Linked DNA regions of Xenopus tropicalis. The protein of the gene in region 1 purifies or fractionates together with the protein of each later gene. This does not show direct contact. Links are inferred from orthologs where the notes say so. Each region holds a gene or a part of one and is shown in the gene's direction. Other genes may lie near its edges. The genes, in order: polr2g, scaf1 and ctdp1.

Evidence for each region.
Region 2: the proteins of polr2g (region 1) and scaf1 purify together in Homo sapiens (affinity purification with mass spectrometry; 3 studies listed by BioGRID and IntAct, counting the BioPlex papers as one, with this or other methods). This does not show direct contact. The link is inferred for Xenopus tropicalis from reciprocal best matches to the Homo sapiens genes POLR2G and SCAF1.
Region 3: the proteins of polr2g (region 1) and ctdp1 purify together in Homo sapiens (affinity purification with mass spectrometry; 4 studies listed by BioGRID and IntAct, counting the BioPlex papers as one, with this or other methods). This does not show direct contact. The link is inferred for Xenopus tropicalis from reciprocal best matches to the Homo sapiens genes POLR2G and CTDP1.

The regions. Positions count from the first base shown.
Region 1 is NC_030680.2:34,586,601-34,590,289, reverse strand, and holds the start of polr2g (DNA-directed RNA polymerase II subunit RPB7), read left to right. Parts: upstream 1-847; 5' UTR 848-1,115; coding exon 1,116-1,127; intron 1,128-2,311; coding exon 2,312-2,421; intron 2,422-2,899; coding exon 2,900-3,059; intron 3,060-3,689. Other genes in the region: zbtb3 (zinc finger and BTB domain-containing protein 3), read right to left, coding at 1-319. UniProt on the Homo sapiens protein: Core component of RNA polymerase II (Pol II), a DNA-dependent RNA polymerase which synthesizes mRNA precursors and many functional non-coding RNAs using the four ribonucleoside triphosphates as substrates.
Region 2 is NC_030683.2:110,787,724-110,791,379, forward strand, and holds part of scaf1 (splicing factor, arginine/serine-rich 19), read left to right. Parts: intron 1-691; coding exon 692-801; intron 802-1,047; coding exon 1,048-1,184; intron 1,185-1,560; coding exon 1,561-1,685; intron 1,686-2,302; coding exon 2,303-3,656.
Region 3 is NC_030682.2:97,277,089-97,280,744, reverse strand, and holds part of ctdp1 (RNA polymerase II subunit A C-terminal domain phosphatase), read left to right. Parts: coding exon 1-26; intron 27-1,471; coding exon 1,472-1,565; intron 1,566-2,163; coding exon 2,164-2,292; intron 2,293-3,170; coding exon 3,171-3,321; intron 3,322-3,656. UniProt on the Homo sapiens protein: Processively dephosphorylates 'Ser-2' and 'Ser-5' of the heptad repeats YSPTSPS in the C-terminal domain of the largest RNA polymerase II subunit. This promotes the activity of RNA polymerase II.

The DNA.
Region 1 (3,689 bases):
CATCCATGTGAAGGTAGCTGGCGGCTGCCAGAACATCCTCAGCTGGTGCCTCCTGGAAGCTGAGTCGGCCACAGTACATAAAATTAAGAAGCAGAGAAAATGCTGGTGCTGTAACAATCTGGCTATTTAGGGTGAGGTCCCGTGTATCTGGATGCTCCCTGCATGACATGTGAAAAAAGGGGCTGCAAGAGGCCAGGACAGAGCGGTGAGCCAGAAAGTGGGCAGTACCAACTATCACTTGGCAATCGCACAGAAAACCTTGCAACTGCTGGTCACGTAAACTGTGCAGGATACGGCGACTGTGATCTGGAAACTCCATGACTGAAACAGTAAAGAGAGAAAAACAGCATTACATTTACAGAGCAAGCAGTCAAACACTCTAGTCTTTCAAATTATGCAAGTCATATCTGTAATATTTGCAATAATGGAGTATTGTAGATGATGACAAATGATATTAAATTTATCTGTCCACTTAATAAATAGAAGTTAAAAATACAATAGTTGTTCCCACCTCTGTTTCAGATACAGGCAAACTACTTCACCTCCAGCCTCAGTCCTCTCTTGGTTAATTAAAAGAAATGTCAATAGCAATAGGGTATATTATATACACACTGCGACATCAGCTTCACAATGTCAACATTTCAACTAAAATACAGCATTTCATTTTCGGTCACGTGATCCAGACATCCTCTTTACCTGCACAAAGCAAATCACGAAAACCACGCCCTTGCCGCCAGCCTATTGGTCACTTTCTCTCCGGCCCGTCCCCAATGCTCTGGTTGGCCTGTAGAGTTGGTTGTGGACAGTGGTTGTAGCCAATGCGCAACGTACTAGACAGCGGGATCCCCGGTAGCCTCTAGGTGGGTGTTCAGTTCCGCAGCTCGGTTCCTCTCGATTCTCTACATTACAGTACACTACATTACACACCGAATCCTCGGATTACCCGGAGCCGAGCCGGTTCTGCCACACATCGCTGCCTCACGTCATTTCCTGTTGTGTGACGCCAACAAGCGGGGACATACAATCGCGCCGCCTTTTAAACGAGCTTTATTGTTCCCGGAATAGAGCATATTGGGTACATCGTGCAGCAAAGAAAGTGACTGCGGGGCCACGGAATGTTCTACCATGTAAGTCCAGTGTCTGTTTTATTGCTTTGGGCATGAATTATCACAGGCGGTAAGTGTTTATGTAAGTGTACAGAATCCTATGTGACTTATTGCATCATTTTGTAAGTGTTGCTTGTTTTCTGTGAAGCCCTTTACCTGCGGGTTACTAGGTCGGGTACAGCTGTTGTATGTTCCTGAGGCACTGGCCTGGCCTCCTGGATCCTCCTTATATGCCTTTTTGGACCATAGAGCAAACTGTTTTATGTGCTTGGCCAGTTCACTATAGTACATTCTCGAAGGCCAGACTATAATGTAGTGACTAAAGTACCCCCTGTTGTAAAATATAAGGCTATTATAAGTCACCTAGGACTTCCTTGACCATATTAAAGCAAGAGGCCAAAGGCAGAGTGATGGAACTCCTGGGTGACTTCTAATATCCTTCTATTTATTATAATACACGTGTGAGTCGTGTGACGGAAATAACATCACTAAGCACCAGTTATAAGGATATAACTTACAGGATATTCATGGCTTTTGTGTATTATATAGTGAATTAAGTACCAGGGCTGTGAAATCGGAGTCGAGGAGTCGGAGGCAATTTTGGGTACCTGGAGTCGGAGTCGGCAAGAAATGAACCGACTCCTACTAAATTTAAATGGGAATAAAAAAAATTAAAATAAAGCAAGTTTAAATGTCCCAATTCACAAACAGTCATAATTAATTACTTCTCTGCTATAAGAATAAAGCCCAATGCAGAGCCAGTAGTTCTGTAGTTAAATGACATGTATGTCTCCTTCCTTTCCTTCAATGAATGTATAAAATACATTAGCATATTAAAAACAGAGGAGTCGGAGTCGGAAGTATCAGAAACTGAGGAGTCGGAGTCGGAGAATTTATCTACCAACTCCACAGCCCTTTTAAGTACCCCCTATTCTAAAATATAGGGATATTATAAGTCAAACTGTTTTCCTGTAGTTGGCCAGTTCACTATAGTACATGCTCGAGGGCCAGACTATAATATAGTCACTAAAGTACTAAAGTTTTGGTGTAGCTAGTGGATTATTAGTAATAGCTATTGGTAATTAGCTAATAGCAATTGATATCGAAGAGGACAACATTGGAATGGTCCGATCAGTGTCTATATCAGCCAGTTAGGCCACAGTCATGTGATGCCATTTTCTTCTTGTTTTTTTTTTAATCCTCAGATCTCATTGGAACATGAAATTCTTCTGCACCCTAGATATTTTGGCCCTAACCTTCTCAACACTGTCAAACAGAAACTCTTCACTGAGGTAGAGGGAACATGTACTGGCAAGTAAGTACATATGTATGTAAGTAGTTTTGCATGTATACACTGTATTTATATGCACTAGAACAGTTGTATGTTTTCTCCTGCACATTAGTGCCATTGTACTGCTGAGTGGCGCTATTAGCCCCATAAATTATCTGTTGTCTCCCTGCAAACTTGTTTTCGCCTGCCACCATGCAGAACCCCTTTATGGGCCTGTGTTGTTCTCTAACACAGCTTTTTCCACAATGTCTCAGTAGTTGATGTTGCACTTAAAGGGTGGGCCAGACTCTGACAGTTCGGGGGCATTATTACATTTATCCTACACCTATCAGGACTTTGGTCTGACATCCAAGCCTGATGCCAATGACTGAGCCATTTGGGAAAGGAGCTGTAGCACTGGTCTGCAATGAGGGGCTGTGGGAAGGCAGGGGGGCCACAGTGATAGTGAAACTCTGCGTGTTTCATAAATGCATTTTTAATGTTCCTTTTCGTCTCTTCACAGGTATGGTTTTGTGATTGCAGTGACCACAATCGATAACATTGGTGCTGGGGTGATTCAGCCAGGGAGAGGGTTTGTGCTTTATCCCGTCAAGTACAAGGCCATTGTCTTCCGTCCTTTCAAGGGTGAGGTGGTAGATGCCGTGGTGACCCAGGTTAATAAGGTGAGAGCAGCACAAAGCAGTCATACAGTCTATTAATTTAAATTAGGAGAGCGTCCTCCTGCTGCTGTAAACTAAAATCGCATCATGCCGAGGGGAAACTAGAAGTTGGTAATGTAGACTGGAATTTTACACAACTTTTCTGTCCCAGTAGCATTTGTTGAAACATTAAAGGAAGAGTAACACTAAATTAAAGTACTTAAAATATAATGTGCTGTTGTCCTGCACTGGTAAGTCTGGTGTGTTTGCTTCAGGAAAGCTACTATAGTTATATTAATATATAAATAAGCTGCTGTGTAGCCATGGGGCAGCCATTCAAAGGAGAAAAGGCTTAGCTTACATAGCAGATAGCATATAAGCTCTCTAGCATATAAAGGTGTTCTACATTGCCTAACTGTTACCCCATGCCATTTATCCCTATTTCAATTGCCTCCATTGATACACAGCAACTTGTCTATATAAACTAGAGCAGTCTTTCTGAAGAAAACAGATTAGTGATACTAGTGCAGGGAAACAGTACATTATATTTTAATTACTTTAAAACACATTCATTTTTTTGGTGTTACTGTTCCTTGAACAGCAAATAGCAGTACCATGTCGCCATTCGCTTTTGCTTTGCCTGCAGATTTCATG
Region 2 (3,656 bases), on another chromosome or scaffold:
TTTTTTGACTGCTGAAGTCAGTGACCCCTGTTTGATAGCTGGAAAGAGGCAGAAGGCGGCAAATAATTCAAAAACTATAAAGAATGAGGACTAATCAAAGTTGATAAGACTTGGCTATTTTACAACGTACTTAAAGGTAAACTACCCCTTTTAAGAAATGCTTTAAATAATGGCAGTAAAATCGGACAGGTGGTTCAGCTGCAGGGGGGGGGGTTCTTTACTTAAGGCTTTGGCACATGGGGCAAATGGGGCACTTGTGCAAGAATTTAGATAAATGGAAGTTTCCATGAGATGCTGGTACAGGTATAGGACCCATTATCCAGAATGCTCGGGACCAAGGGTATTCCGGATAAGGGGTCTTTCCGTAATTTGAATCTCAATACCTTAAGTCTACTAAAAAATCAATAAAACATTAATTAAACCCAATAGGATTGTTTTGCATCCAATAAGGATTAATTATATCTTAGTTGGAATCAATTACAAGGTTCTGTTTTATTTCTACATAGAAAAAGGAAATCAGTTTTAAAATTCTGAATTATCTGATTAAAATGGAGTCTATGGGAGACGGGCATTCCGTAATTCGGAGCTTTCTGGATAACGGGTTTCCGGATAAGGGGTCCGATACCTGTACCTCTAATTGTCGACTGCCATGCCAGTTTCCTTTATGTAATATGCTTATTTTATTGTTTAGATTCAAAGCAGAAAGGCACAGAGCTGCCGAAGCCCTGTAGGAAAAGGAAAGTAAAGAAGCACAGCGGTGCTGGGAATGCAAAACCTCTCAGTGCAGAGAATGAAAATTCTGTATGTATCACATTTCCTACGCTCATCCCATTTACATGGCACTGTAATCATGTATAATAATAATTCTTAATTATCATCATCATTTATTTATGTAGCCCCAGTGCAGCTAAGCAGCACTTTACTAATAATGTATTACAAACAGGAGTCTTACAATCATTTAACAAACATGGGTTAGAAAATAAAAATGGCACCAGAGGGCCCTCACAAGAGCTTTAATCTGATCTTTATTTTCTCTAATCCTCTCAGATCCCTGAAACAGCAGGAAATCTCTTGGCCAGTTTTGCCGCTGCATTGGATTACATGGAAAAGACCAACACTACCATCACTGCAGGGTCTCATAGCCGCCCATATGAGGAACAAACTATCGAGTTGGGAGCCAGGTAGTAAGTAACAAATCACTTTTCTTTATTTTTCCCAACGTGTTTCATGTTGCAAAATAGCAACTTTTTAGTTGGACTTTATATTTCTTCTGCCACTTTCCAGCTTTCAATGACCCCTGCAGCCAAAAACCTATTGCTCTATGAGATCACAGTTTTAATGTTGTTACTCTTTATTACTTGGTTTATTAGTCAGCTCCTATCCTATTCATATAAGAAAAAATAAATAATGAAGACTAATTGCAGATTGCCTCGGTATTGACTGTGATATGTCAGATTTATTTATACAGTGAGGCCCAGTATACAGACCTCTAGTGTAATCCTTTCCCCTTATGAATATAGAACTGCCTCACTGAATAACTGCTGTGTTTTAAATCATCAGCGACGCAGAAGAGGTAGATGAATTTGAGCTTGTAGCTGAAATTCAGATCGGTGACATTGCATCTTATTGGAATACTCGTTCAGGGATCTCCAGGAGGGACAGACATTGGAGAATTCAGAAGTCAGGTGAGCCGGAAATAACATATCCTGTGCCTTAAGCATCGCCTAACCCCGCTTACTCATTATGTACATGCAAATGGCGTAAGATCAGGCTTGCATCTACAGACTCGCTTATTTTGTACATGCGACTTGCCCAACATGGCCACCTGCCATTATGGACAGTGAAGTATTCATTAAGGTTGTGTAGCTCCAGGTAAATAGAGCATCTGGGAGTTCACTAGTACTGCCTTGCTGTACTAGTTTTATCGATAGGGACTTCATTAAAAAATGAAGAAACTAGTAGTAAGTGTACAGTATATTTATTGGTAGTGGATGTCATTTTTTTAATTTTATATTTGTTCTTGAACCTGTTTTTGGGCTGGACTGTAATGATTGTGGTCGATGCTACTGAGCATAGGAACTAAATAATCTCTCCAGACCTTGTCAGTTGGCTCGACCTTTGTCCAATTTGGCCACCCATCTGCTAGGCCAAAACAGATTGTTTAGCTACTTGGCCAACAAGCGGATCCTAACAGACCCAATGTGCAAAGATGCCCCCATATTGCCTCCCTGTGCAGTTGTTGTACATTATAAAACTAACTGATAGGCATTTTTCTTTAATATCATGTTCTTTTCTGTTGCAGTGTGCCTAAGTACCTCAGGACTACATGTTACAAGTGGACAATCAGCCTCTGTCAGTGCAAAGGTTATGTGTAACCCAACAAGAATGGAAGGCTCATTGGAGCCTACCAGAAGTTCTTCAGTCATAAGACTGAATCCCCCACAGACATTTCACAGGAGTAGAAAACACACAGATAGAAATGCTCTACAGAATGTTTGCATTGCAGACAGAACGGACTTACAAACAAATTCACAGCTTCATACTTCTACCGAAACTGTGCTACCTGGACTTTCTTGGATTGTTCCTGATCCAAATAAATCTTTTAGAGGATCTAGAGGGAATAATGGCCTTTGTTCTGGCAGGACTACCCCAATACATGGCAATACACAAACAACTGAACCTAGTCCTGGTTCATTTATATCTTTGGGCCTTGCCCTTGGAAATGGAAAAGGGGTATCGAGTGGACAGCAGAGACCTGGTGGTTCAGAAAGCTCCACATCTAATCAGCATTCACAGCCTCCTAATTCTCTGGAAAAGGCAGATTCCAGCTCCTCTTCATCTTCCTCCTCTTCTCAAATGCCAATACTGTCTGGCAGTGGCAGTGGAGCACAATCTAACCAGTCCCAAGAACTTGATATTTATGATCCCTTTCACCCCACAGATGAGGAGAATGTAAACGGAGATTATTTATATGATGACACACCTGAGAAAGAAACAGATGAACAAGAGGATCAAAAATATGATCCCTTTGATCCTACTGGCTCCAATCCTAGCTCTTCTGAGAGCAGCCCTTCACCCTATGATGAGGACGAAGAGGATGAAGAGGCAGGCAGTGAATCACATGCTGAAGGCCGTATCTCAGAAGCTTTGGCTGGAATATACGATGAAAATAGTCTGAGCCAAGACTTTCCAGGTGGAGAGAAGGAGAAGGAAATTCAGTCCTGTGAATCAGATAAAGTCACAGGCAAGGATGGGAATGATGATAATAACGAATATGAAAATGAAAAACCCGACCAGAAACATTCCAGAGAATCCTCAGAATCCTCTGCAAAGGACAACACAAAGTCTGCTTTTGAGCCTTACAGCCCGAGTTCCAGCTTGGATTTAGACAGAGCTGATGAAGTAGAAGATGTTTCGAGGGAAGTATCAGAAGAGAAAAGTATAAAAGAACCACCACTGGCAGACTCGACTCTTAGTGATGGAAACACGTCAGAGGCAGTAGCAGAACCCAGAAGAAGGGTGTTTGCTGTGGATGTTGGCAATGATTATAGTAGAAAAGCAGAGTTTACAACAGAATCCGAATCAAAGTCCAAATTGGAGATAAAGGTTTCACTTGAATCCATTGCAAAACCTGATGTCAAGTCCTATTTGCGGAT
Region 3 (3,656 bases), on another chromosome or scaffold:
GCAGAATGTGGCCAAGACTTAACACAGTAAGTAATTCCTTGTTCATTTATGTCTATTTTTTTATTTTTTAAATAAGCAGATAAATTATTCTATACGTTTTTGATTTTTTTGGAGATTAATTTAATAATCCTTCTAGCTGTAAAAATATAAACAGTCCAATGTGCTGTGAAATTTTATATTTTGCTTGTATTACTATTACATTTGTATTACTATGCATTAATTGTATTTAATAAGCTAATCATATAAAAATATAACTACAGAATACATAACCTTTTTCCCACAACCCTGGTAAGTTTTTCATAGAAACTCCTGGATTTACCAACAATAAGCCATTTTTTATTTCCTTTCGCTGCTAATCACACCTGCATAATGGTTAGAAGGAATTCAAGATCATTTCACCTTGTAAAACTGTTGAGGTTAATAGATTCCACCCATTAATATCTCATTTTGCAGACTTTTAGTTTTATGTTTCAGCTGACTGTTTAAGCTGTTTTGATACTGATATATTACTTTAACTAGGTGATGCAAGACATTCACCTAAAACAGAGTGCATGGGGTCAGGTATCCACGGGTACCCAAGGAATACCCCCAAAGTGGTTGGGTTTCGGGCAGAAAGTCCCCATTTGTCTTGACATTGAGGGCAGTCCGTGGTTAACCCACCTGTGGACCACACTAAGGTGTGGGAGTGATCCCTCGCCTGAGGATACTGCAAGTTTTTTCCCCTTCTGATCTGGCCCCAGAGTGACGTCACTTCCAGTACACAGTGACATCACTTCCAGTTTTGTGGTCTCAGGTCTGAAGGTAAGGTAGTGGGTCTGGGTAGGAGGACATATTGGTTGTCGGGTGCAGGGTTGGGAATCGAGTCAGTGGGGGTCCGAATCAGGCACTGGTCTGCCTTGGATAGACCGTGCAAGACTCTACACCAAACTCTTGCTAAGCTTCATTTGATAAGACTTCCCAGAGATTCTGTTTTTATGCTTTTACTTACATTACTACCATAAAAGTATAAATAATTAGTCTGACAATCTATTTTCCAGACAAGTGGGCTGTTTGGCCAAAAATTGGCAAAATGTGCACTTAAATGCACATATTTAATTTGCAAATCGTGGAAATCTCTAACAGACTGGATAAATTATTTTCTAACATCTAAGACAAAAATCTGTTTAATCACAGGTATTTGTATCCATGAAGTCTGTGTGATGACAGATATATGTATCCATGCATTTTTCTTAAATGGAAAGCCTTATCTTATAAATAACATACATTTGCATATTTGAATTTGAGCAAGATATGAAAATGTAATTATTTGTTAATGTTTTTTTCTGTTCAGTTTTACATTGTTGTGAAGTCATGGCATTACAGGTTCACATTAGGAACAATCTTAACCTGTCATACTAGCCTCATATTTAGGCCAGTTCCAGTAAATATGATTTTGTGATATGTCCCTTATTGTAACGTTTTATTTATTTAGATTACAAAGTAAGAATGGAAAGCAGCAGGTGCCTTATTCAACAGCCACAGTTTCTATGGTTCATAGTGTCCCAGAACTCATGGTTAGCTCAGAAGTAAGTATATGGTATTTTACATTTGGTCTAGAATTCTTGTGGAAAAATAATGTTGCATTTTTTTATTTGCATCAGAAAATATGTGAGGAAGTTCTAATATACTATCCTTGATACTTTTCAAGCACTTAGTTCAATCCCCCTTACACAGCAGTGTAAGGAATACTTGATAACGAAGAGCAAACATTTCTGTTCGGTGTCCTATACTAGAAAACTATGCTATGCTATGCTAAATGTTAGGCACCCCCAGTTATTAAGATTGCTTACCTGATACGCCAGACTGGTACTTCTGTTAGCAGAAAATCTCACCAGCTTGGGGTACATGCAGGTGAGCGATCCTCTTCCTTCCTTTGCCTTTACAAAAAAAAAAGTGCTTAATTTTTTTTTTTGATCACCTTATGGTGCGGTTTCTAGCCATACATACATGGTCAGAATATGGCAAGATGCTTTTAAAAACTTGATAATCCAACCCTATGCCACAATACCATGTTTGTATTTGTATAGAAGAACCCCAGGGAATATCTATAAATCTTTCTTCTAGCAAAGGTGAAAGCAGAAAATAAGAGAGAAAATATTTTGCTTTTTTTTTTTTTTTCTTCAGAAAGCAGAGCAACTAGGTCGTGAAGACCAACTTAGATTACATCGAAATAGGAAACTGGTCCTTATGGTTGATTTAGATCAGACTTTAATCCACACCACGGAACAACATTGCCAGCATATGTCTAGAAAGGTAATTTTGTCTAAACTTATTTGGATTTCAATGATTAACAATTTTCTTAATGGAAGACTGCATTTTGTGAAATAAAAGCTATACTTTGAAAAAAATACTTGAAATACTGTTGGTTTTTTTTTAGGCTAGGTGAATCAGTTAAAATTAATTTTGTATTCCTTGTCATTATGGAAACAGATAATGTTTGGTTTATCTTCCCCACCATTTTTTGCAACCATAGTTAGAAACTAGATCCTGTTTACCCCATTTCCTCATTTTCGTCCGGTCATTCCCTTTTTTCTCCATCAGTTTTCTTCATCTTCCTTGTTTTTTCCTCCACTCTTCACGTTCCTTCTCTTCCTTTGTCCTTTTAATAGCCCCATTATGTTTCTCTCCCTGATATCTTTTTACTTACTATTCTTGGCCTGGAGACATTTTCTCCTCTTTTTTTTCCTTCTTTCATGATGTTCCCTATATTTTTCCCACCCCAGACACTGACCTGCAGCAATATAAATAAATATAATTTTATTTAAATTAAAAAATTCTCTAGGTTATAGACAAACAGTTCATGTAGTGTAGGGATAAATATATTCATTGCATTGGCTTTAAATATACTAAAAACCCTACTCTATACTGGTGATCCTCAAAAAAGGTTAAACCGATCAGTAACTTGGGGTTGTAAAAAATTGAAAGATACAAAACATGACTTCATTCCCAGGTGTGTGTTTTTATCAGTACACGTTACTATAATAACTGAGTTATGTGCAACTTGCTTGCTATGTGCTTACCTGATTTTCTGTTTTGAGTGGGTCGGTAAAAGGATGCCCAATTTCTGTGTCACTGTAAAACAAAGCTAATAATTTCAACATGGATTGAAGTCTTTGCTTATTTCCTTACAGGGCATATTTCACTTTCAGCTAGGAAGGGGAGAACCAATGCTCCACACTCGGCTACGTCCTCACTGCAAAGAATTCTTAGAGAAGATTGCAAAGCTGTTTGAACTGCATGTCTTCACTTTTGGTAGCAGACTGTATGCCCATACTATAGCAGGTGTGCAGTTTTATGCACTTTTGGCACATCTATCTAAAGCCAGTTTATTATCAAGAATATCTAACTGGAACTCTTTCTTATGGGTTAGCAACTCTTATGAGCTCTAATAAGACATAAACATTTTTTTCAGTATATACCTAGATGACTAAGCCAGTCTTACCATGCAGATTTTTCCAAGATGGTATATTTAAGTGCATTTCTGGAAAAGCTAATTGTTTTTCCTTTTTTGAAAATGTATTATTTAGGTTTTAAAACTTTACAAAGTCAAAGAGGAAAGGTTGAGGTAGTACCATTTCATTTGGAATTACAAAATGTTATTGTTTTTCCCCAACTAT